Mus musculus: one gene and its partner. The protein of the gene in region 1 purifies or fractionates together with the protein of each later gene. This does not show direct contact. Links are inferred from orthologs where the notes say so. Each region holds a gene or a part of one and is shown in the gene's direction. Other genes may lie near its edges. The genes, in order: Ofd1 and Cep20.

Region 1 (11,368 bases):
CTTGAGAGTTAAATACTTTGTAAGTGGTTGGATTTAGAACTCTGTAGGAAAGAGCAGTTTTAGTGTTCCATGGTCTATCCCTACCACTTCCTAACTCCCAAGCACTCCCCACTCCTGCACTGCATAGCACTCCCTACACTTGCTACTGTTACTAAGGACTCATGGCACAATTAATTGTACCTCATATGGATGCAGGGAACAAGACAGAACAGTTTGAAGCAGAAGGACTCCACCCTGCTGGTGACATGCCTGGAATAGATTTTGCTGTGGCTACTCAGTCTTCAAGACTCATTTCATACGACTACCCAAGTAAGTGGTTCCTTACTTAAACTAGCAATAAACAATAGCTACATATTGCATGCTGATCTATGTGCTCTGTAACTTATTTCCTACATGACTTCTATTATTACATTTATTTATTAAATTATATATATTGGTGTATGTCTGTATATATGCATGAGTGTGCCTGAGAGTACCTGGGGAGGCCAGAAGAAGACATTATATTCTTTGGTGTTACAGCTACAGGCAGTTGTGAGCTGCCTGGTCATAGGTTCTGGGACCCAAATGCTGGTCATCTGGAAGAGTAGCAAATACATTTAACCCCTGAGCCATCTCTCTAGGCCCAACATTAATTGTTTGTTTCGATTTTTGTTTTTGTGTGTTTGTCTATGGAGGTCAAAGGACAACTTGTGGCAGTCAGTTCTCATGGATCAAGCTGGGGTTTGTAGCAAGTGCTTTTATCTGCTGAGGCATCTCTGGTTCTATAGGACTTTCATAAATATAGATAGAGGCTTGGGCTAGTGGCATTATCATTCTTAAGGGACTTTCCCTGTGTGAACATGTACAAACTGCTAAGGAAAACCTCCAAGAGAAGACTTCTCATTTAGTCTTGATTGGAGTTGGACAGAGCACTTATACTTTTTGCTCCTCTTCTGCAAAATCTGTCCCATAAGGAACCTTATCATCTTTAGAAATTGTGTTAAAAACGTGAAGTAGGGGGACACAGCTACCCAGGAACTCTGCCCCACCAGTGGCACAGGTTTCTTCTGGTCTGGGCCGGTCCCCTGAGCAGACCTTGGGCTCGAACTCCAGCCAGTCCCACAACATCCAGAGGAAGATCTGTTCCCAGGTGCTCCAATACTCCCAGAATCATAGGATCAGAGCCAGTCCCACAACAGCCAGAGGAAGCTCCAATTCCAAATGTGCTACCACACCCAGGATCATAGGATCAGAGGTGAGGAAGATACAACATCTAACCTAACACCAGGAGTGACAGAAACCAGCAGGACCCAGGCACTCAGGTTCCTTCCAGTCTGAGCCAGTGCCCTGAGCAGACGTTGGGTATGAACTCTGCAGCCAGTCCCACAACACCCAGAGGAAGCTCCACTCCCAGGCGCTCCAACACTTCTAGGATCATAACACCCAGAGGAATATCCACTCTCAGATGCTCCAACACTCCCAGGATCATAGGATCAGAGGTGTTCTGAGCAGACCTTGGGCGCTAACTCCACAGCCAGTCCCACAACACCCAGAAGAAGCTGCACTCCCAGGGCCCTAACATGCCCAGGACCACGGGATCCCAGGAGTTTGACCAAACACCAGGATCTCAGGGTCCCAGAGGGATTCCTAGGAGCTCTGACACATCCAGGATCTCAGGATCACAGGATCACAGAGACAGCTGAACTCTGAGAAGTTCTGACACAACCAGGATCACAGGAAGGACAGTCCCCAGTCAGATGTAGCAAGGGCAGGCAGAACTAGGGATAATCAGATTGCAGGAGGCAAGCATAAGAACAGAAGCAACAGAAAACAAGGTTACTTGGCATCACCAGAACCCAATTCTCCCACCATAACAAGTCCTGGATACACCATCACATTAGAAAAGCAAGATTTGGATCTAAAAATCACTTCTCATGATGGTGATAGAGGACTTTAAGAAGGTCATAAATAACTCCCTTAAAGAAATACAAGAGAACCTAGGTAGACAGCTAGAAGACCTTAAAGAGGAAGCACAAAAATCACTTAAAGAACTACAGGAAAACACAATCAGAGAGGTGAAGGAAATGAACTAAACCATCCAAGATCTAAAAATGGAAATAGAAACAATAAAGAAATCACAAAGGGAGACAACCTTGGAGATAGAAATCCTAGGAAAGAGATCAGGAGTCATAGGTGCAAGCATCACTAACAGACTACAAGAGATAGAAGAGAGAATCGCAGGTGCAGAAGATACCATAGAAAACATTGACACAACAGTGAAAGAAAATGCAAAATGCAAAAAATCTAACCCAAAAACATCCAGGAAATCCAGGACACAATGAGAAGACCAAACCTAAGGATAATAGGTATAGAAGAGAGTGAAGATTCCCAAATTAAAGGGCCAGTAAATCCCTTCAACAAAAGTATAGAAGAAAACTTCCGTAACCTAAAGAAAGAGATATCCATGAACACACAAGAAGCCTACAGAACTCCAAATAGATTGGACCAGAAAAGAAATTCCTCCTGTCACATAATAATCAAAATACCAAATGCACTAGACAAAGAATATTAAAAGCAATAAGGGAAAATGGTCAAGTAACGTATAAAGGCAGACCTATCAGAATTACAACACACTTCTCACCAGAGACTATAAAATCCTGGGCAGATGTCATACAGACCCTAAGAGAACACAAATGCCAGCCCAGACGACTATATTCAGCAAAACTCTCAATTACCATAGATGGAGAAACCAAGATATTCCATGACAGAAACACACTTATACAATATCTTTACATAAATCCAACCCTACAAAGGATAATAGATAGAAAACACCAACACAAGGAGGGAAAGAACAAGAAAGTAATCTTTCAACAAACCTAAAAGAAGCCACATAAACATAATTCCACCTCTAACAACAAAAATAACAGGAAGTAACAATCACTTTTCCTTAATGTCTCTTAACATTAATGGACTCAATTCCCCAATAAAAACACATAGACTAACAAACAGACTGGATATGTAAACAGGACCCAGCATTTTGCTGCATACAGGAAATGCACCTCAGTGTCAAAGACAAACACTACCTCAGAGTAAAGGTCTGGAAATCAATTTTCCAAGCAAATGATTCCAAGAAACAAGCTGGAGTAGCCATTCTAATAATGGATAAAATCGACTTTCAACCAAAAGTCATCCAAAAAGATAAGGAAGAACACTTCATACTCATCAAAGGAAAAAAAAATGTACCAAGAATTCTCAATTCTTAACATCTATGCTTCAGATGCAAGGGCAGCCACATTCATAAAAGAAACTTTACTGAAGCTCAAAGCACACATCGCACCCCACACAATAATAGTGGGAGACTTCAACACGCAACTCTCAGCATTGGACAGATCATGGAAACAGAAACTAAACAGGGACACAGTGAAACTAACAGAAGTTATGAACCAAATGGATCTAGCAGGTATTTATAGAACATTTCATCCTAAAGCAAAATAATATACCTTCTTCTCAGCACCTCACGGGACCTTCTCCAAAATTGACCATATAATTGGTCACAAAACAGCCCTCAACAGATACAAGAAGATTGAAATAATCCCATGCATCCCATCAGATCACGACAGACTAAGGCTGCTCTTAAATACCAACAAAAACAATGGAAAGCACACATATACATAGAAGCTGAATAACGCTCTACTCAATGATAACTTGGTCAAGGAAGAAATATAGAAATTAAAAGCTTTTTAGAATTTAATGAAAATGAGGACAGTTCATACCCAAACTTATGGGACACAATGAAAGCAATGCTAAGAGGAAAACTCACAGCTCTAAGTGCCTCCAAAAAGAAACTGGAGAGAGCTTACACTAACAGCTTGACAGCACACCTGAAAGCTCTAGAACAAAAAGAAGCAAATTCACCCAAGAGGAGTAGACAGCAGGAAATAATCAAACTCAGGGCTGAAATCAACCAAGTGGAAACAAAAAGAACTATTCAAAGAATCAAGAAAACCAGGAGCTGATTCTTTGAGAAAATCAACAAGATAGATAAACCTTTTGCTAGACTAACCAGAGGGCACAGAGACAGTATCCAAATTAGTAAAATCAGAAATGAAAAGGGAGATATAACAACAGAAACCAGGAAATCCAAAAATCATATATATCTTAAAACAGTTATTCCTCTTGTTGAATATTAACAGTTGAAAATAATAAAATTATGTTCTACAAACATCATGGAAATATTATTGATAATTTGTCTCACTGCTTGAAATTAGCATTTTCTTAATGTTTAACTTCAAGGAGCTTTTGCTATTTTGAAAAATTTAAAATATACTTTCTGATAAAATAATTTCTCTCCTATAAACACTGATAATCTTTTTTAAATAAACTGATTGTTAGACAATGTACACAGATATATAATGTATTTTAAATACTCTCACTATGTCAGGTGGTATCATATAAGGGCTTTTGAATATATTTCTTAATGATTCATTTTTAATATTTTATGCTCTTTTACTGTGCTTAACTCCCAATGAATATTTTGTATGTTTTGAAACAATTTAGTATTCAACATTAGATATAGGATCCTCAGTTATGGGTAGTATTACATATTCATTAATGATATTTTTAGGATAAGGATATGAATATAAAAGCTGAACAATTTTTTACCTATTATTTGATTCTCAAAATACTCAATATTATTATGTTTGATGTATAAAATGCATTTAAATAAGAAAAAATAAGAAAAAAAACCCTGAAGTAATGGTCAAGCCCACTGTATAGCTTTACTGTTGCAACATTTTAGTATTTATTGTCTTACTGGCTTCATTTATTTCATAAATTAGGATAGAAAAACATATTTCAATCTTCAGAAAAGTCATATGTTATATTGTCACCGAAAGAAAGTGGTCATCAGACTTCTGCCTGGCTATGCTTTTTTCTCTTCTTCAGTTTATCTACTTCTCCCTCAGGTGGTAGAGGGAGCAGAGAGCAGAATTGAGAGGAAGTTTGTCCTTTCTTCCAGCCCAGTCAACAGCCAGGTCCCTTTCTTCTCAGCCACAAACTTGAGAGGAAATGTCTTACTTTAGGTTGCCTATCTGCCCAAATAGGAACACCATTAACATTCCTGTACTGACTGTTGTTGTGTGTCAACTTGACACAGCTGGAGTTACCACAGAGAAAGGAGCTTCAGTTGAGGAAATGCCTCCATGAGATCCAACTGTAAGGCATTTTCTCAATTAGTGATCAAGTGGGGAGGGCCCCTTGTGGGTGGTGCCATCTCTGGACTGGTAGTCTTGGTTCTATAAGAGAGCAGGCTGAGCAAGCCAGGGGAAGCAAGCCAGTAAAGAACATCCCTCCATGGCCTCTGCATCAGCTCCTGTTTCCTGACCTGCTTAGGTCCTAGTCCTGACTTCTTTTGTTGATGAACAGCAGTACGGAAGTGTAAGCTGAATAAACCCTTTCCTCTCCAACTTGCTTCTTAGTCATGATGTTTTGTGCAGGAATAGAAACTCTGACTAAGACAACCCCACACACAACATAACTCAAAGCCACTCCATAGTAGTTTCATGGTCTCTGGAAGTACTCTAGAAGTCACAGTACTCAGGAAGGAGAGGAGCTACTGAAAAGGAGCAAGAGATTTTGATTATACTTATTCCTGAGTAAGTAAGTGTGCTTTGGGAGACAATTCATTTAACTAGACCCAAGCAAGCACCTTCTCTCTGTTGGGCATTGCCTAAGGGCTAGGTATATTCATTGAGCCAAATCAAGCTCCTGCCTTCATGGAGAGTGTGGGTTAAGAAGGTGGGGCAATGAAGGAGTCTAAAGGCTATCACTGAGCAGACGGTGCACCTGGCCATGTTCAAAGCCGAAGGAAGTAGCCAAAATACTAGCTAAGGGAAATCAGTGAGTAGCTAGATGTTCTGCCTTGAGATGTATAAGCAATCATGGCTCTTGAAATAGTTGATAAGTAGCATTGGTTATGTTTTGGTCATTTGAGAAATGCTTATATATTCATTTCTGCCTCTTCATCTAAGAACAACCCCCCCCCAAAAAAAAAAACAAAAATAAACAAACAAGAAACAGTAAAAATGTGATGTCCTTGAGGTTCCTAATGCTTCTGGTCTTGGCTTTTGTGTCCAACACGTTTCTATATAATTCTGCCACTTCCTCTCTCTTCCCTCTTCCCACTTTTTTCATCCTGCTCTGCATCTTGTTTTTCTTCCTTTCCCTGCCTTTTTTCCTTTCTTCTTTTTCCTTTATCTCAACAATAATCTTATTTTGTCATTGCTCTTCCCTGTGGGAAAGTAGAGCCATTTGAAGTAATCTCTCCTCTACTGGAAGGGAGGGACAGGGTAAGTGTGTCTCTGGAAAGAAGTGTGACTTTTGGGTATTTTAATTGTATGAAAAACATATATTGAATGGCTGGCTGGCTGGATAGATAGATAGAGAGATGTGTGGCCTTTTTTCAGTAAAGCTAGTTCTTATTCCTGCTAAGCATCTGGGACAAGGCACAACACCAGAGTCTGAAATCCTTTGGTGAACCTGTGGCATTGTTGCTGATTAGCATTTTTTGAGTGAAAAAAAATGTAGGTCATGGGCTGGAGCTGAAAGAATGGCCAGCATCATCATCTGTGAAACTGAGACTTATTTAAAAGGCAGGGACCTGTGCCAAGAATGAAAGGGAACAACAGACAAATAAAACATGAAGCTTGCTAAGAAGAAATAGAAGTGGGAAAAATACGCACACATGATTTTTTTCTTTCTTTTCTTTTTTTTTTTTAGAGAGGGGGTATAATGTATTGGCAAATGATGTGCTGGCATATTTATGTATCACTTGGAGGGTAAGGAGGACCTCACAGAGGAACTGTCTGTAGCAGCAAGATGAATTGGATAAGCACACAAGTACTGGTGGCTCAGTGGATCTGGGATAAACTCTGATGCCTGGGCTGCTCTTTAACTTGTGGGCTCAGCCTCTTGAGTTGCTAACATCATAGATGTGTATTTCCATGGCTTACCTAGACAGAGATGATGAAAGAACCAGTGTAACCTGGGGAGGAGGCTAGCATTTTGGGATTTCTCCATTTCTGTGACCAGAATCCCATTAAAAACATGATTGTTAGGCTGGGGAAAATGGTCAGAAATGAAGAAAGACATGGAAATGATTAGGGGTTAGAGATGGGTTAGTGGCTAAGAGCACTAAATGCTCTTCTAGAAGACCCAGCTTCAATTCCTATCATCCATATGGCAGCTCACCACTGTCGGTAACTCTAGTCCCAAGTGATCTGATGCTCTCTACTGGCCTTCTCAGGCATTGCATGCATGTGGTGCAGATACACATGTAAGCAAAGCACCTGTACACATTGAGTAACAATGGAGAGAAAAAAAAGGATGACCCCTAGCAAGGACCAGGATCAGTATAGCTTGAACTGAATAGTGGTGGTAGTGCCAGAGGATAAAGGGGAGGAGGGAGAGTTTTGTTCTGTTTGGGGATAGGAATGTCTCGAGCATCTTTTTTAGGCGTAGGGAGAAAGGGTTTTGAAATTACTGTGTTTATGAAACCCCTATTGATGCGCTAATAGTTCTAAAGATAGGGGATGGATTGTAATGAAACATGAAGGCAGAACTGTAGAATTTGCTATGGAGAGGCTGAAGCATGGAGAGAAGAGATGAATGAAGAGGATATGGTATGGAAGGACGACTGTTGGGGTCATTCATCGTGTGGTGGCTTATATCCATCTCAGGAAAGTAAAAGTCTAGGAGGGTTGCTAGGTGTCAGTCTGTGAGCTAGAAGATAATAAAAATAGACCAGCAGCTTAGAGCAGGTCATTAGAATCAGTAGAAAATCAAGCAGGCCTGCAGAAGACTAGATTTGAAAAATCTGATGCTGGTAGCTACTCACTCACTCTGTTTTCTGTCCTTTAAGGTGCTGTTCAGAGCCAAACTGGAGAACAAGACGAACAGGAGCTATGGGAGCTTCACATGAAAGAACGCAGGCAGAGAGAAGAACAAAGGCATAATGAACGGCAAGAAGCTTTAGAGAGGGAAAGAAGAGAGCTGGGAAAACTAGAGCAGGAGCGGGTACGGTGTCCCTTAAATCTCTGTATACATTTTTCCAGTGGGCACGGCACCTTCAGCAGGTACCTTGAGCTCAAGGCTGGGAGCCAGTAATGCTGTGAGATCAGAGAAGCAGCAGGTGACCTCAAAGGCATTCTCTTTCCCTTCCTGTTGTGCTCCTTCTGAGCAACTTGGTTTTGAAAAGACATCCACATGTATTCTCATCTGTTGTATACCTTCCCTCTGTATGTGCACTCCAGGAGAGCCAGCTTGCCAGTTGGAAGAACTAGGGCAAGAAGGTGCATCTAGTCAATCTACAGTGACGTCTAGGCACATACAGCTTTTCTACCTCTCTCCTTGCCGTTTTTGTTCTGATTTTAGTGCTAGGCAGATGGATTACTCTTGGCTAGTTAACATGCCTTAAAAATGTTCCTTGGCCTCCTGGTTAATCCCTTCCTTCCTTGAAATGACATGTTTGTCTGATGATAGCAATGACTTTAATTTTAAGCACTTTCTCTGGTATGCAAGTTATGCTACCAGAATAAGGATCTTATTAGTATGATTTTTAAGACTGAGAAGCTTATAAACTATGTTCATATATTTCTTCTTTTGCCGCTGGTCTGTTTCTAGAGGATGATTGAAGAGTCACTGAAGATGGAGATGGAAGAAGAATTAGAAAAGAGTGTTCAAGACCAGAAAGACAAATCAGCTCATTGTGAAAATACTTTAGAAAAATACATGAAAATTATCCAGCAGAGACAGGAAGAATCAAATGCAGATAAGGTGCCTATGCTGTGGCTAGCAGTCAGATGGCAGAGGAGAGGGGAGGCACTGGGAGCCTTATTCTGACACCTTGGGACATGTATTCTTTATTGAAGACACAAAGATTAAAGGCCATAAAGTGAATACTTGAAATAGAACCAGGATTCTGTAAAATATATACACTGTTGACAAAATTTCAGCCTTAGTTTAGGTAAAACATTGAAGAGATTCTAATTTTTAATTTTGTACCTAATAGGATATTTTATTGAGTTATAGATTGTGAAACATTTTTTCTGTCTGAATTATGAATACTGAAAATACATGCTATGTGTTATTTTGATGTACTTGCTAAGTTTCACTTTAAAGTGGCTCTTAAATATGTTTCCAAAATAATTATTAGAGAAATCAAAGTGTACTATTTCTTGGCCTTTTTCTGAAGTTAACTTGTTTCAAAATTTTTCTTTCTCCATTCTGTGTCAGAGCTCCAAAAAATCGGGCAAAGAATGCTCACTAGTGGACATGATGATGCCTAGTGACAAGGATGAAAGGTATGGCTTCCTTCAAACATGTCCCTCAGGCAAATCAGTATTGCTCATGTTACCAGATAAAAATGATCAGATACTTGAGCTTGCCTTAAAGAAACCATTGGATTAGTAAAAATTACTCCTTTTGAAAGTTAGTATATGATAGTATATTCTGGTAATTCCAGCACTCTGCTGCCTGAGACAGGAAGATCAAGAGTTTGAAGCTACCTTGGGCTACATAGTAAGACTCTCAAAAGTTATGAATTTAAAAGGGATGGAGGTTTACTTCAGTTAGCAGAGTGTTGAACTAAAAGGTAGAAGTCCCTGGGTTCAATCCCAGACACTCATAAACAGGGCATGGTGCCACATGCCTGTAATTCCATTACTCAGGTAGAAGCAGGAGGTATTTAAAAATTTAAGGTAAGTTTTGTTTACATAGGCCAGCCTGAGGCACAGGAGGCCTTTATTAAAAAATAAAACAGAACAAAATAAAAAGCCACTGGCCTCAAAAAGTCGATTGTGATTTGACTTGTGAAATTGACCCTAATACTAATTGTAAGTGAGAGCAAAAACACGACAAGAAAGGAGGAGGACCATTCTGAAGATGTAGAGCAGTGCTTCTTAGCCTTCCCAATGCCGTGACCCTTTAATACAGTGCCTCATGCTGTGGTCACCCCAACCAGGAAGTTATTTTCATTGCTACTTCTTAACTGTAATTTTGCTACTGTAGGAATTGTAAATATATGTTTTCCGATGGTCTTAGGTGACCCCTGTGAAGGGTTGTGACCTACAGATTAAGAACCTGATGATGTAGAAGTTGGCATGAATTTTTTAAACATCTAATTTTTCTCTTTAGTTCTCCAGGATTTTCTCATGAAGAACCAGATGACATGTGGTAATAACATTAGCTGTCTAGTTTCTCACAAGAAGTCACGTAATATGTGTTCTTGTTTTTCTGGAATTAAAGTTGTCAAAAAAACTTTGTGTATTTTTTTAACATTGTTTTAATTTTATACCATAATGTCTGAGACAACAGTAACAGAGTCAGCTGAACCCTTCCCCCCTCCCCTTTTATTTTTGGAGACAAGATCTCTGTGAAGCCCTGGCTGGCCTTGAAGTCACAGATTCGCCTGCCTCTGCCTCCCTTTGAAGGCATGCACCACCACACTTGGCCCATGTAGTCCTCTAGCCATGGCATGTATTCATTGTTTTAAAATGACATTCCTCTCTCTGGCTTTGTCTTAAGTTACATCTATTTGAAAACTTATCTTGTCACCTTCCAGGCTTGCATTTGCTAAGTTTAAGCTGTGTGCCTCCTGCTCCACACTTGGGCTATAATGTGTAAAACAGGAAGCCATCCTCCCAGCACAGTTTTGTCCCTGGACATGAACACAAATCTTTTCATTGTAATGTCTATAAATAATATTTTGCATCTGGTGTGGTTAAACTTGTAGGTTCTCCAGTATTCATATGTTTGAACCCTAGTGTGATGGTATTAGCTGGTGGGCCTCTGGGGCGTGATGCCATGAAAGCAGACCCTCCTACATAGAATGAATGAGAGCGCAGTCATCCCTTTCAGAAGTACCAAGAACTTGACACTGTACAAACCAAGGCCTGACCCTTACCAGGCACTGAACTTGCCAGCACTTTGTTACTGAGATTCTCAGTCTCCAGAACTGTAAAAATGAAACAAAAACTCCAAAGTTCTATTCTTTACTCCCTACCTTGTCTAAGATTATTTTTGTAGCAGGAGTAAGCCAGCATCTTTACTGTAGAATCCTTTAATCTTATTTATAATGGATAATGGGTGAACTTGTTGATTTTTAAATATTTAGGTTACTAAATATTTTAAATATTTTAAAATATAATAAAAAGGTAACTTATAACTCTGACTTCTTTTTTTTTTTTAACCCTCCAAGACAGGGTTTCTTGGTCTAGCAGTCATGGCTGTCCTGAAACTCACTTTGTAGGTCAGATTGGCTTCAAACTTATAGAGATCTGCCTGTCTCTGCTGCTCAAGTGGTGGGACTAAAGGTGTGTGCCACCACCTGGCT
Region 2 (11,782 bases), on another chromosome or scaffold:
ACTTTGTGACTGCCATGAATCAGATCCGCAGAAACATTTACAGGAAAGGTTTTTAAAATCTCATTTCGCCATATTGTCTGGAAAGTGAATGCTTCCTTTCAGGCAATAACCTACCACTGCTTTCACCTGGCTCTAGCATTTAATCTTCTCCCCAGGAAGATGGTGGCTCATACACGTAGCACTCCGGAAACAAGGTCAGAAGACTCCCTGCAAGTTGAAGGCCTGACTAGGACACATAGCTGAATTTGAAGCAAGTCTGGGCTAGACTGAGAGTCAGTCTAGAAATATAATAATTAATTTTAATCTTAGAATTACTCTCCGTGAATGGAATATTGATTGATTGATTGATTGAGACAAGGCTTCTTTGTGTACCCATGGCTGTCCTGGAACTTTCTATGTAGACCAGGCTAGCCTCGAACTCAAGAGATCCACATGCCTCTGCTTCCCAAGTGCTGGGCTTAAAGTCATAATCGTGAGCCACTATGGCACAACTAAAAGAATTTCTTTTTAATTATAAGTGTTCTATCTGCATTTACACTTGCGTTCCAGAAGAGGGCAGCAGGTTCCTCTGTAGATGGTCGTGCGCCATCATGTGGTTGCTGGGAATTGAACTTGGGACCTCTGGACGAACAGCCTCTTAACCTCTAAGTCATCTCACCAGCCCTAAATGTATATTTTTAAAATGAGTTATTTAGTATTACCATGTGTTTATAAACTATGGACATCTCAGAAAACACACTAAAGTCTAGTATTGTAGTTTTAGATGCAGAAACCATATTACCAATCACAAATTAAGGATAAAACTAAGTATGTGTTAAACTGTAATTAAGCTCCACATTTAATTGTTTGGGTATATGTTAACATCATAAACTCATGTATATGTTAGCTCTGTCTTGAATGTGCTGTCAGCATTCTTCCAAAATCTGAGAAATGTATCTACCTGGGAGGTATGGTTATTATCAAAGTTGAATTTGCCTTTTAGATTAATAGACTCAGTGTTTTCCTGAATTTTTCCCTCCAGAATCTGGTCAACCTGTAGTTCCATTGGACAGACAGTTTCTCATCCGTGAACTAAATGCCTTTGAAGAATCAAAGGATAACTCAATGTAAGAAGTTTTTAAAAAGAGGTTTGCACATGTTATCATCAGATCCTAATGGCATAGTGCTGGCTATGATTTATTTTAATCCAACAGGAACTTATTTAGGTTTATTGTATGTTACACATTTTACAATATCTAAGAAGTGTAGACCAAACATCTGAGGTCTCTGCTGCAGCTGAGCTCTCTGTGGCCTCTGAGGACTGAATACTTAGCCAACCTGCTTCCCTGCATCACTCCCTTTCTTTCCCTCCCTCCCCACCCCTTCCTTCCTTTGGGGGCTTCCTCCCCCCCATCAGTTTCTCACAGTGGTGGTAATTGACACAGGGCCTTGTATGTGCAGCAAGCCCTTTACCCTGAGCAGTGACCCTGGCCCAGCCCTCTACTTCTTTCTTTTTTAAGCTGCTTTTCTTTTCTTTTCTTTTCTTTTCTTTTCTTTTCTTTTCTTTTCTTTCTTTCTTTTTTTTAATAGTCCCAGCTGTCTTGGAACTCTAGCTCTGTTCTAGCTCAGCCTTGAAATCACAGATGTCCAGTTGACTCTACCTCCAGAGTGCTGGGACTAAAGGCATACACCACCAACAACTGGCTTTTTTAAACTTAAAAAAAATGTATGTATATAGGTGTTTTGTCTGCATGCATGTCTGTACACCACATACGTGCCTGATTCCCTCAGAGGCCTTGGAGCTGGAGTTACAGGTGATTGTAAGGCACCATGTGGGTGCTGGGCATTGAAGCTGGACCTCTAGAACAGCGAGTGCTCTGAACCGCTCTGAGACATTGCTCCAGCTCCTCCCCCTTCTTTCTAAGAATGACTCTTCTTGGCCTCTTGATCTTTTTTTTCTTCTTTGTAAAGCTTTGTTCTTCGAGTTGTTTCTTCTTCATATTTAACTCTTCCTCCTTCCTTCCTTCCTTCACTTCAATGTAGGAACTAACTCAGATCTCATCTCTAAACAGAGGAAAGGGGCCTTCCAGTCAGCTTCCTCTTATCCCACCTCTGCTTTATAGCTTATCATTGCCAGACCTGTTGTGTCTGCCCTCTGCTTTCACGTTACCATCCCCTTCTCTTCTGCTGCCTGCATCGGAAATTGTTCCTTCTCCTCCTCTACATGAGTCATTTCTTAGTTCCTTCCCTGTGTTTAATGCCTTTTATATTTTTCCAGAGTCCCTAACTGGTTAATTGGTTAGCTTGTACCTAGTGCCAGAGTGCACAGCTCAGAGAAACCTTTCCTTGCTGAAAACTTCTTTGAAGATTTATGTTTTCCTTCTAAAAGTTCATGGATTTTTTTCATTTGTTTTTGTGGTATAATTATATTTTAATATAAAGTTTTTTTTTTTAAGATTTTTAAAAATTTATTTATTTTATGTATATGAGTACACTGTAGCTGTACAGATGGTTGTGAACCTTCATGTGTTTGTTGGGAATTGAATTTCTAGGATCTCTGTTCGCTCTGGCCAATCCTGCTCGCTCTGATTTGCTCAGGCCCAAAGATTTATTTACTATTATACATAAGTACACAGAGCTGTCTTCTGACACACCAGAAGAGGGCGTCAGACCTCATCACGGGTGGTTGTGAGCCACCATGTGGTAGCTGGGATTTGAACTCAGGACCTTCGGAAGAGCAGTCAGTGTTCTTACCTGCTGAACCATCTCACCAGCCCTGAATTGTTTTTTAGTTTTTTAGTTTTTTGTTTTTTAAAAGATTTATTTATTTATTATATGTAAGTACACTGTAACTGTCTTCAGACACTCCAGAAGAGGGTGTCAGATCTCATTATGAATGATTGTGAGCCACCATGTGGTTGCTGGGATTTGAACTCAGAACCTTTGGAAGAGCAGTCAGTGCTCTTAACCTTTGAGCCATCTCTCCAGCTCCCTCCCCCCGACCCCCAAACTGTTTTTGTATATGCCATTTAACTAAGTCTCCCTCAGTGCTGTCCTGTCCCTAGCATCAAGTATGGGTCCTGAGTTTTTGCAGCACGTTGCAATACTGACTTCTTTTTTCTCCACACAGCTTCCCATCCCATGTTTCTTGTGGTTCTTCACTGTCATAAGAGTTCCCCAGACTTACTTAGTCTTTCTTTCTTCATTGACTCCTTTAAGTTTCAGTGGGCACTCCATAGAGAGTGTCTTCCGTTTCCATTTCTTTTCACACACCACCCCTATACCCGAGCCTCTAGGGAGGTCTGCATGGGGCAGATGGGCTTGGATCACTTTCCTGCTGGGGCCCATGTGTCTGTGGCATCTTAAATGCAGTGTGTTGAGAATACCAGGGTGCTCTTCTTGCCGACTCACAACGCTCCTTACAGGCTTTTCTTGTGGCTGCTCAGGCTTTAAAGGCAGAGCCACAGGCAGGTTAAAGACAGGTTTTCTTTCTCCTTCAGCAGCACTGTTGCCTCTGCCTCTGCTTATCTCTCAGTCTCAGTGCCTTGTGCCACACTGTTGACACTATCAGGAGCCACCTGGCTAGTTCTCCAGTCGCTCCCTTTCCAAACTCTTTTTACCCTGCCCTCTGTCTTCCTAAGGCAGCTACTGTATTGCTTAAAAACATGCAATGAATTTCCATGGTGTATGTGAGCAAGTCAGATCCTTAGTATTGCTTCAGCTTCAGTGGCTCGACCCACCTCTTAGTGGCACACAGTTATTGCAGCTTCATGGTTCATGGCCTTTGCACCAAATGTTCCCTCTCCTCTCCAACTTCTGTGGGTTCACCTTTTATCTTCTTGGCCATGTTTAGATGTTCCCACAGGAGTTGGGAGGGAGAAAGCCACCCACAGGCTCTTGTGCTCACTGCATTGAATTTCAGCTTCCAGGAAAACTGATTGTCCGCATAAAATCCAGGTGACCTCGAGAAGAAGAAAAGAAAGCATTTCTTAGTTCCATAGTTTCATGTTTTCTCCTCTTTGTCTTTGTGCTGACATGACAAGGCTACAGCAGATTTTAACAGCAAGCTAAGCAGACAGACTACAAAGGAGCGTAATAGCTATTATGCTGCATTTTAAATAAATAAAATTATTCGAATAAGTGCTGCATGTACCAGTTGAGTGTTACTGTAACACTGTATATTTCTCTGCTGCTTACTGCACTTTGTCATTGATTTGCATTGGGTGTCCAGATGTTGTCCAGCTCTGGGCTGGGTAGCTGAGGAGCTCTTTCTGAAGGAAAAGCTTTGAAGCACTAGGTGTGAGAGAGTATAGTGAGCTGACTGTTTGCCTACACTTATTTTGCCTATGTATTAACACAGTGTTTGACTTATGTAGTGACATGGCATGAACCTTAGATAGGGAACAGTGGCCTAAGTGAGGAGAAATCACTTTTGAGGGGTCATAATGAAAGTATTGGTGTTTTGCTGCAAACCATGTAGGAGATATAGAAAAGTGTGCTATTGCCCCCAGCTGCTGCCCACTGATAGCTGTCACTGCCCAGAGGTGACTCAGTGAGCAATTCCCCTTGTATCATTCAGACACAGCACATGAAGCACAGCTGTGTGGTTTTCCTTCCACATATGAAGGAATCGTATTGTGTATATACATCTCTTTTTCAAACACTTTAGTTCCTCTTATTTGAGGGTCACTGTATTTTGTCTCAGAGGTTTTTTTTTATCTACACAAAATGAGAGAGTGTCTATTGAAGGCTGTCTCTGCTTCCTTTCCTTCCCATGCAGACCACATCTTCCCCTTTAATGGCGTTCTTGTGTTGTGGATTTCCAGCATTTTACTATTTTGCCAAAACTTATCTGATACTTGCTACAATGTGGGGCATTGCTGTAGACACTGGAGATGTGGCAGCACAGTTTTCTACAGTGTCCCCAGAGAGTGACTGGGGAGTGCGTAGTCTATGAGATGCTCACAAACTGCCATTGAACTACATTCCCTCCTGGTCATTTATGATCTGCTTAAATGGTGCATGTACACGGAGAAATCCTGCCACACGAAGAGCCTTTGCCGTCTAACTTGGGTTATCCATATTTGTTTGGTGAAAAAATCTTTAAGGGGGCTGTTATCCCCATTTTACAGAGCTAGTGGTCATGGGTATAATAATCACTACATTTGAATGTTAAGCAAAACAGTGGGTAATGGTTTAAACATTTGGACAGTTTTTGAAATGTGTGGAGATTCTAAGAGTAGCTATCTTAGTCAGTGTGAACAGACACCATGACCACAGCAGCTCTTATAAAGGAAAACGTGTAATTGGGGCTTGCTTACAGTTTCAGAGGTTTAGTTCATTCTCTTCTTGGTGGGAAGCATGGCACCACACAGGCAAGCATAGTATTGGAGAAGTAGCTGAGAGATCTCCACCTGGAACTCTAGGCAGGAGAGAGAGGACACTGATACTAGCTTCTGAAACCCCAAGGCCCACCCCCAACCTCTTCCAACAAGGCCACACCACACCTCTTAAATCCCTCTCAAGTAGCACCACTCCCTGATTCAAATGAGCCTCAGATGGCCATTTTTATTCAGACTACCACAGTAGCAGGTATAGGGCCATCCAAGTAGAAGTTAGTTTGCATTTGACGGGTGTCTAGCAAGTAGCTGTTAGATTTTTTTTTTCCTAGCTCTTTGATAGCCTCTGAAACCTTTGCTGCAGATGAACAAGTTCAAAGGGGAAACTGGTGACCAGCTTTATTTTCAGAGAGTGAGGGAGCCTCTTCAGGAGTGTGTGTGTTGGGGGAGTGTGTGCTGGAGATCAACCTTGGGGCTTTGCGCATGCGAGGTGAGTGCTTGTCACTGAGCAACACCTAAAATTTTTTTTAAAAAAACATGGCCTTTTAAAACTTATTTTTGGAAATAAACTTTACTGTCGAATTGTATGTTAAATGTGCTAATTACCATGTAAAGCAGTTTAAGATCTCTGATGAAGATGTTTCTAAATCTGAAGCAGATTCTATCCTAGGTCAGAAGTAAAGCTTTTAGCAATCTCAAGCAAGCTGGCTGGAAGGAGCAGAGGCGTGGGGTCTGTCTCCCTGAGAGCCTGTAGTGCTTTCCTCGTCCTGGGGAGCTGCTGTCACATCCATGTGCTCCGGATAGCTTTTGAGGTTTCAGGCTTCTGGAACTTGTACTGAAGCCATGAGATCTTCTTCAGACTTCCTAAGTTCCTCATATATGTGCCTGTGTGTGGGACTGCTTGAATGTCCACAGGCTGTGCCTCCCCACCCGCAGAGAGTGATCCAAGAAAGCAAGTAATTGCCCCTTGCCACCTTGTCCCATAGGTAGAAGTGAGTGAGGCTCAGTCAAGCATAAGATGTGTAGACCCTGTTCTTGATAGAAGGGTCATACTTTGAACCATTTTATCAGCTGGGCAGGAGATGGATATCTCAAAAGGAAATGCATTTACTTGTATTTCCTGGGGTGAGATTGGAAGCGAAGAGAGAACACTTCTGTGCTTTCAGTAGAGCAGCCTTCAGTGTCAGGGGACCAACCAACAGGACTTTTGGTGACATATTTTAAGAAATGGCATATAGGAGTTGGTTATGAGTATAAATGTTGTTTACTCCTGAGGAACTCTGGCACATTATTGAATTCTGGTTTTCTCAGTCATAAATGGTGGTAGTATAGTGATGGGTAAGAGGAAACTACAAAGCAGCCTTGTAGATATTAGTTACTACCCGGCTCTCCTGTTAATTCATATGCCATTTTCTTTTTTTTTTTTTTTTTTTTTAAATAAATACTTCCTGGAGAACACTTAACATCATTCACATCAACTTTATTTTTTTTTTTTTTTTTTTTATTTTTTAGATTTGTTTATTTTATTACATGTAAGTACACTGTAGCTGTCTTCAGACACTCCAGAAGAGGGCGTCAGATCTTGTTACAGATGGTTGTGAGCCACCATGTGGTTGCTGGGATTTGAACTCTGGACCTTTGGAAGAGCAGTCGGGTGCTCTTACCCACTGAGCCATCTCACCAGCCCCATATGCCATTTTCTATGTGCAAGGTACATAGCTAGAGACTTGACATTGTCAACAGGATACCAAACATGTAACCTAGGGATTGCTTACAGCCTTTATGGAAGAGAAACATCTGTGGAACTTTAGGAAACAGATCTTCAAGGTCTGCAGCTGGCTGTCCGCCAACAAGATATGAAGGCAGAGCACATGGTTTTTGAGCATAACCTTGACAGGACAGTGGATGTGTAACCAGTTCTAGGTTCTAGGAACGTCTTAGGCTGGTCTTGGAGTTAACAAGCTGAATTCCAGTAGATTAATTGGGATTTTGTTTTAGTTTAGAAGATCTTAATTGTGGCAGTGTGTTTTCTGAGGGTTTTAAAAAGATCTCACTCAAGGTAATTGGTACTTTTAAATTGAGTGAACATTTGCCACTTAGGTAATCTTTTTTTTTTTTTTTTTTTTTTTAATTTATTGAGTTAGATGGCCGTTTCTGTGTCAGAGTTTACCTTTAAAGTGATTGTCGTAAGCTTTTCCTACTTCTGGGAAGTAAATTGATTTTGGTTTTGTCTTCTTCCGGAAATAGTCCTCTATTGTATGGAATTTTAGCCCATTTCTTGCGTGGTCCTCCAGATGGAGCCCAGAATGTGCTTCTGACAGAGTCAACCCTGCACCCGGCAACCAAGCATCTCAGCTGGAAGCCCAGCAGAAGACCTGACGGTAGGCGCTTCCGCTACTCATCCTTGAGCTTCATTGGGTTTGTTCTCTGGAGCTGGTCTGGTCATCATCAGCCTGTACTACTGCACCTCCAGAAAGCCAGCGCTTTGGGGGAAGAGATCTTGACTGGGCAAAGTGCTCAGATACAATTTCAAAGCAAGGTCTTGAAAACCTGATTTTCACATCAGCAGGGTCTTTGAAACAGCCTGGCTCAGCGCATTGTATAGTTTTCTTTGAAATCAAGAAGTTGCCTCCCCCCCCCCCCTCCCCGACACCCTCTCCCCCATCTTTCCCAGACTGAAAAATACAAGATTACTACTGTGCAGAGAAGCCATGTCTGTGTTCCCGGTACATTTCCAGGACACTTGCTATGGTAGATGACAGTTAACTACAGATAACAGAATTTAGACTCTGACTCTCATTCAGTTTGGCCTTGAGCTTGCCATCAGTCAGTCTTCTTTCCTCGGCTTGAGTGCCAGGATTAGATGTGTGAACAGCCATGCCCTGCTCAGAATGCTCCCCTTTACGGTGAGCTTTCAGAGCGAAGCATGGTGACTCAGACTTGTAATCCAGGCAGTGAAGACTGAGGCCAGCCTGGGGTGCATACATAGTGAGGTCGTCGCCAAGGTGACACAAAGCTGAGTAAGTAAGTAAATAAGGTAGAAATGATAGAGTGAAACGAGCTTATGGTGATTAGGCAGCAGGTCCTGAGTTTGCTTGTGTGAGCTGGGTGTTTCCCATGGAGCAGAGTTGGTGCTCGTTCTCAGAAGGGTGTTTACAAGTGGGGTTCAGGCAGCTGATACGGGATTTGAAGTAAATTCTTAAGAAATGCCGAGGATGCAAATTGCTCTGCTACAACCAATGCTGCTGCCCCTTCTGAGTGACTTGCTGCTTCTTAAGTTCTGAAAGCAACATACTTGTGAGTCAGGATAAGCCCTCAAGATATTTGTGACTTAACTAGTTTTATTCTCTGTTTGTTGTGATGCTGGGCTGACTGTGTTATGTTAGACTAACTTTCTACTAACTTTTACTAACTTCCTAGAGAGCCAAGACTGGGAGAATAGCGACTCAGTGCTGGCTAAAGTTTAACACAAGGCCACTGTTCAGACCCACCAGAGCATGAGAGTGGGGGCTTTCCAAGTTCATGCCAGAATCACTAAGGCTCTGACACTAGTGTAGAATACTAGCCCACTAACCCTGCTAATGCCTCTTGAAAGTCTCGAGGACTGTACAGTTGCCTTTGACCTTCTCTGCCCTGCCCATCTTGACTCCTCATACCCCTTCTCTTCCATGGAAGACACTCATGTTGGCCCTTTACGGGTCATTTGGGACTAATTCTGTGTGTTCAAGGATCCAAATCTATCTTAGCTGGCAGTGTGCTTATGGATCAGTGGGTCTGGGCCTCTATGGTGTGGTATTGCTACAGCTGTTTTTTACTGATGAGCTAAGGCTAAGGTTTCAGTTTTACAACTGTGTAAGGTTGTATCTTTGTCTGTATAGAATGATATCTCTCCTGTGATGGTACCTAAAACAGAATTGCTGGTTCACAGACAGCATGGCGTATTTAAGTATGTAGTTCATATTATTTAGTTCCCTGGAAAGGCTTTACTAGTTTGCACACTTAGGAGGAATGCGTGACAGTCCTCAGTTCCTGTCCCTGCTGGATGGTGATGACCCATTAATACTCGTTAACACAGCAACCACAAGACTCTAATTTAGTATTATGAAGAAAAATAATGTTTTGGGATCTAACCTTTGTAATAATGTTAGAATCTCTTTAATATTAGTGTTAGTGGCAATAGAATGTTGAAAATGAGAAAACTGGTCATAAACCAGGGTCAGTTCTTATAAGGTGAAAGTTTTAAACTATCTCTCATAACCTTCCACTGCAGGGAGGGAGGAAGAAGAGGGGGGAAGGAGGAGGGAGGTAAGCTGGGAAGAGAGTCACCCCAAGATGCTTAGTGCTACAAGCAGTGAGAGGCCAGTCAGTGCCGTGGGTTTGGGTACTTCCTCTGCAGAAAGCTCCAGGGACAGCTCATGAATGAGGGTGGCCGCAGAGCTCCAGGGACAGTGATGTTGCAGCTATTTTCTCTCTCTCTTTGTTTGTTTTGTTTGTTTGAGACAGAGGTTCTCTATAGTCCTGGCTGACCTGGAACTAGCTCTGTAGACCAGGGTAGCCTTGAACTGAGAGATCTACCTGGCTCTGCCTCCTGAGTATTGGGATTAAAGGCTTGGATCACTATGCAAACTAGAAAATAACTAAGTTATTTTCTTGATCATCAATTTTTTTTTTCTTGACACACAGTGACCTCTACGTAATGCCTTGAGAATAGTCTCAGCTATAAGATATCATTTGTAACACGGTTGTTCTTTGAGTCCACCTACTACAGCAGCCGCATGACTCCTGCTTGACAGCTCATCTGGTTTTAGTGGAAGATGTTGGAAAAGATTCCATAGGCACCCACCTTTAGCAGGATAGCCTGCCACTTAGTCCTGCACTGAGTGGATGTGATCTTTGAGGCAGGGTAGATTTTGTTCTAAGTAAAAGTTAAGGCTTTTATGATCGGTATGCAACAGAAGGGAGGAACCAACTTCTAAAAGTTGTCCTTTGATTTCTGTGTGCACCTGCTGTGGCCTATGTATACACACTCACATGTATGTATGCACACACACACACACACACACAGACACACAGAAAAATAAATTTAATTTTAAAAGCCCTTTATTTTAAATTTTATGCTTGAGCTTTTTTTAGATACAGGGTCTTATCATGTATCCTAGGTTGCTCTCACTGGTGGCAATCCTCCTGCCTCCATTTCTTTAGCTGGGATCATAGGCATATGACCGGGACTGTTTGTTTGTTTGTTTTTCGAGACAGGATTTCTCTGTGTAGCCCTGGCTGTACTGGAACTCACTCTGTAGACCAAGCTGGCCTCAAACTCAAAAATCCACCTGCCTCTGCCTCCCAAGTGCTGGGATCAAAGGCGTGTGCCACCACTGCCTGTCTCGGACTTTTTTTTTTTAAAACAAAGTTTTATGTTTGTGTGGTGGTGGTGGTGGTGGGTGGTATTTACCTGTATGTATGTCTGTGTACCTCGTGCATGCCTGGTGTCTTAGGAAGCCAGAAGATGGCATCAGATTTCCAGAAACTAGACTTATAGACCATTATGAGCTGCCATGTGTCCAGTGGGAACTGAACGTGGGTTCTCTAGCAGCAAGTTCTGTGAACCACTGGACTATCCCTCCAGCGTGGCATGTGTACCTGTAACCCAGCATGGGTGGAGCAGAGCCAGGCAGATCTCAGTGTGGATCAGGATGGCATTTATTATTCTACCTCAGCCTCCCAAGGGATGGTCTTAAAGGTGTATCTCCCCATGCCCAGCTTATCTTTGGATTTTATTTTATTTAGTTATCACTTTTATTACACTTATATCTATTTGTGCATGCATGGACCATAGTGCATATGTGGGGGTAAGGGACAACGTGTAGGAGTCAGTTCTGTCCTTCCATGTAAGTTTTAAAGATCAAAGTTGGAGTCAGACTTTGTGGCAGCATCTTTACTCCCTGAGCCATCTTGCAGGCTTTAAAAGTACTTTCTACCATTTCCTGGATAGTGTTACAATAGATACAAAACAACCCCCTTTTTTGTGTTCCACAGGAGGGCTCAGCTAACAGGCAATCATAGTGGTTTTGTTGGCCCTACAATGCTGATTGCACACTTGTCCTTCCTCCTGAGTCCATTCCTTATATCTGAGATAGTGGCTTACAGGGCTCCACGCTGCACTTCACTCCAAGGGGAAAAAAGAAAAAAGAAAAGCTGAGCCTGTGCTTGAAGCCTGTGACATCAGCACTCAAGCTGAGGCAGAAGGCCAGCCTGGGCTAAACAGTGAGACCCTCTTGTTCCTCTACCCTCCAAATGAAGAAACACTTGAATTATTACAGTTAGTCTCTAATACCAAACAGTTATGATTTCTTCAGTGATGCTTAAGACATGAGTAGAGTTCACAAAGATAGTTCAGCAGGTTTGCTGCCAAGCCTCATGACCCGAGTTCAATACCTGGACACACATGGTAGAAGGAAAGCACT

The links.
Region 2: the proteins of Ofd1 (region 1) and Cep20 purify together in Homo sapiens (co-immunoprecipitation; 3 studies listed by BioGRID and IntAct, with this or other methods). This does not show direct contact. The link is inferred for Mus musculus from reciprocal best matches to the Homo sapiens genes OFD1 and CEP20.

Annotation. Positions count from the first base shown.
Region 1 is NC_000086.7:166,389,861-166,401,228, reverse strand, and holds the end of Ofd1 (oral-facial-digital syndrome 1 protein homolog), read left to right. Parts: intron 1-195; coding exon 196-309; intron 310-7,897; coding exon 7,898-8,052; intron 8,053-8,658; coding exon 8,659-8,811; intron 8,812-9,270; coding exon 9,271-9,338; coding exon of another isoform or gene 9,339-9,444; exon of another isoform or gene 9,445-10,170; coding exon 10,171-10,213; 3' UTR 10,214-11,196; downstream 11,197-11,368. UniProt on the Homo sapiens protein: Component of the centrioles controlling mother and daughter centrioles length. Recruits to the centriole IFT88 and centriole distal appendage-specific proteins including CEP164. Involved in the biogenesis of the cilium, a centriole-associated function.
Region 2 is NC_000082.6:14,300,371-14,312,152, reverse strand, and holds part of Cep20 (lisH domain-containing protein FOPNL), read left to right. Parts: intron 1-1,021; coding exon 1,022-1,106; coding exon of another isoform or gene 1,107-1,110; intron 1,111-7,565; coding exon 7,566-7,699; intron 7,700-11,782. UniProt on the Homo sapiens protein: Involved in the biogenesis of cilia. Required for the recruitment of PLK1 to centrosomes and S phase progression.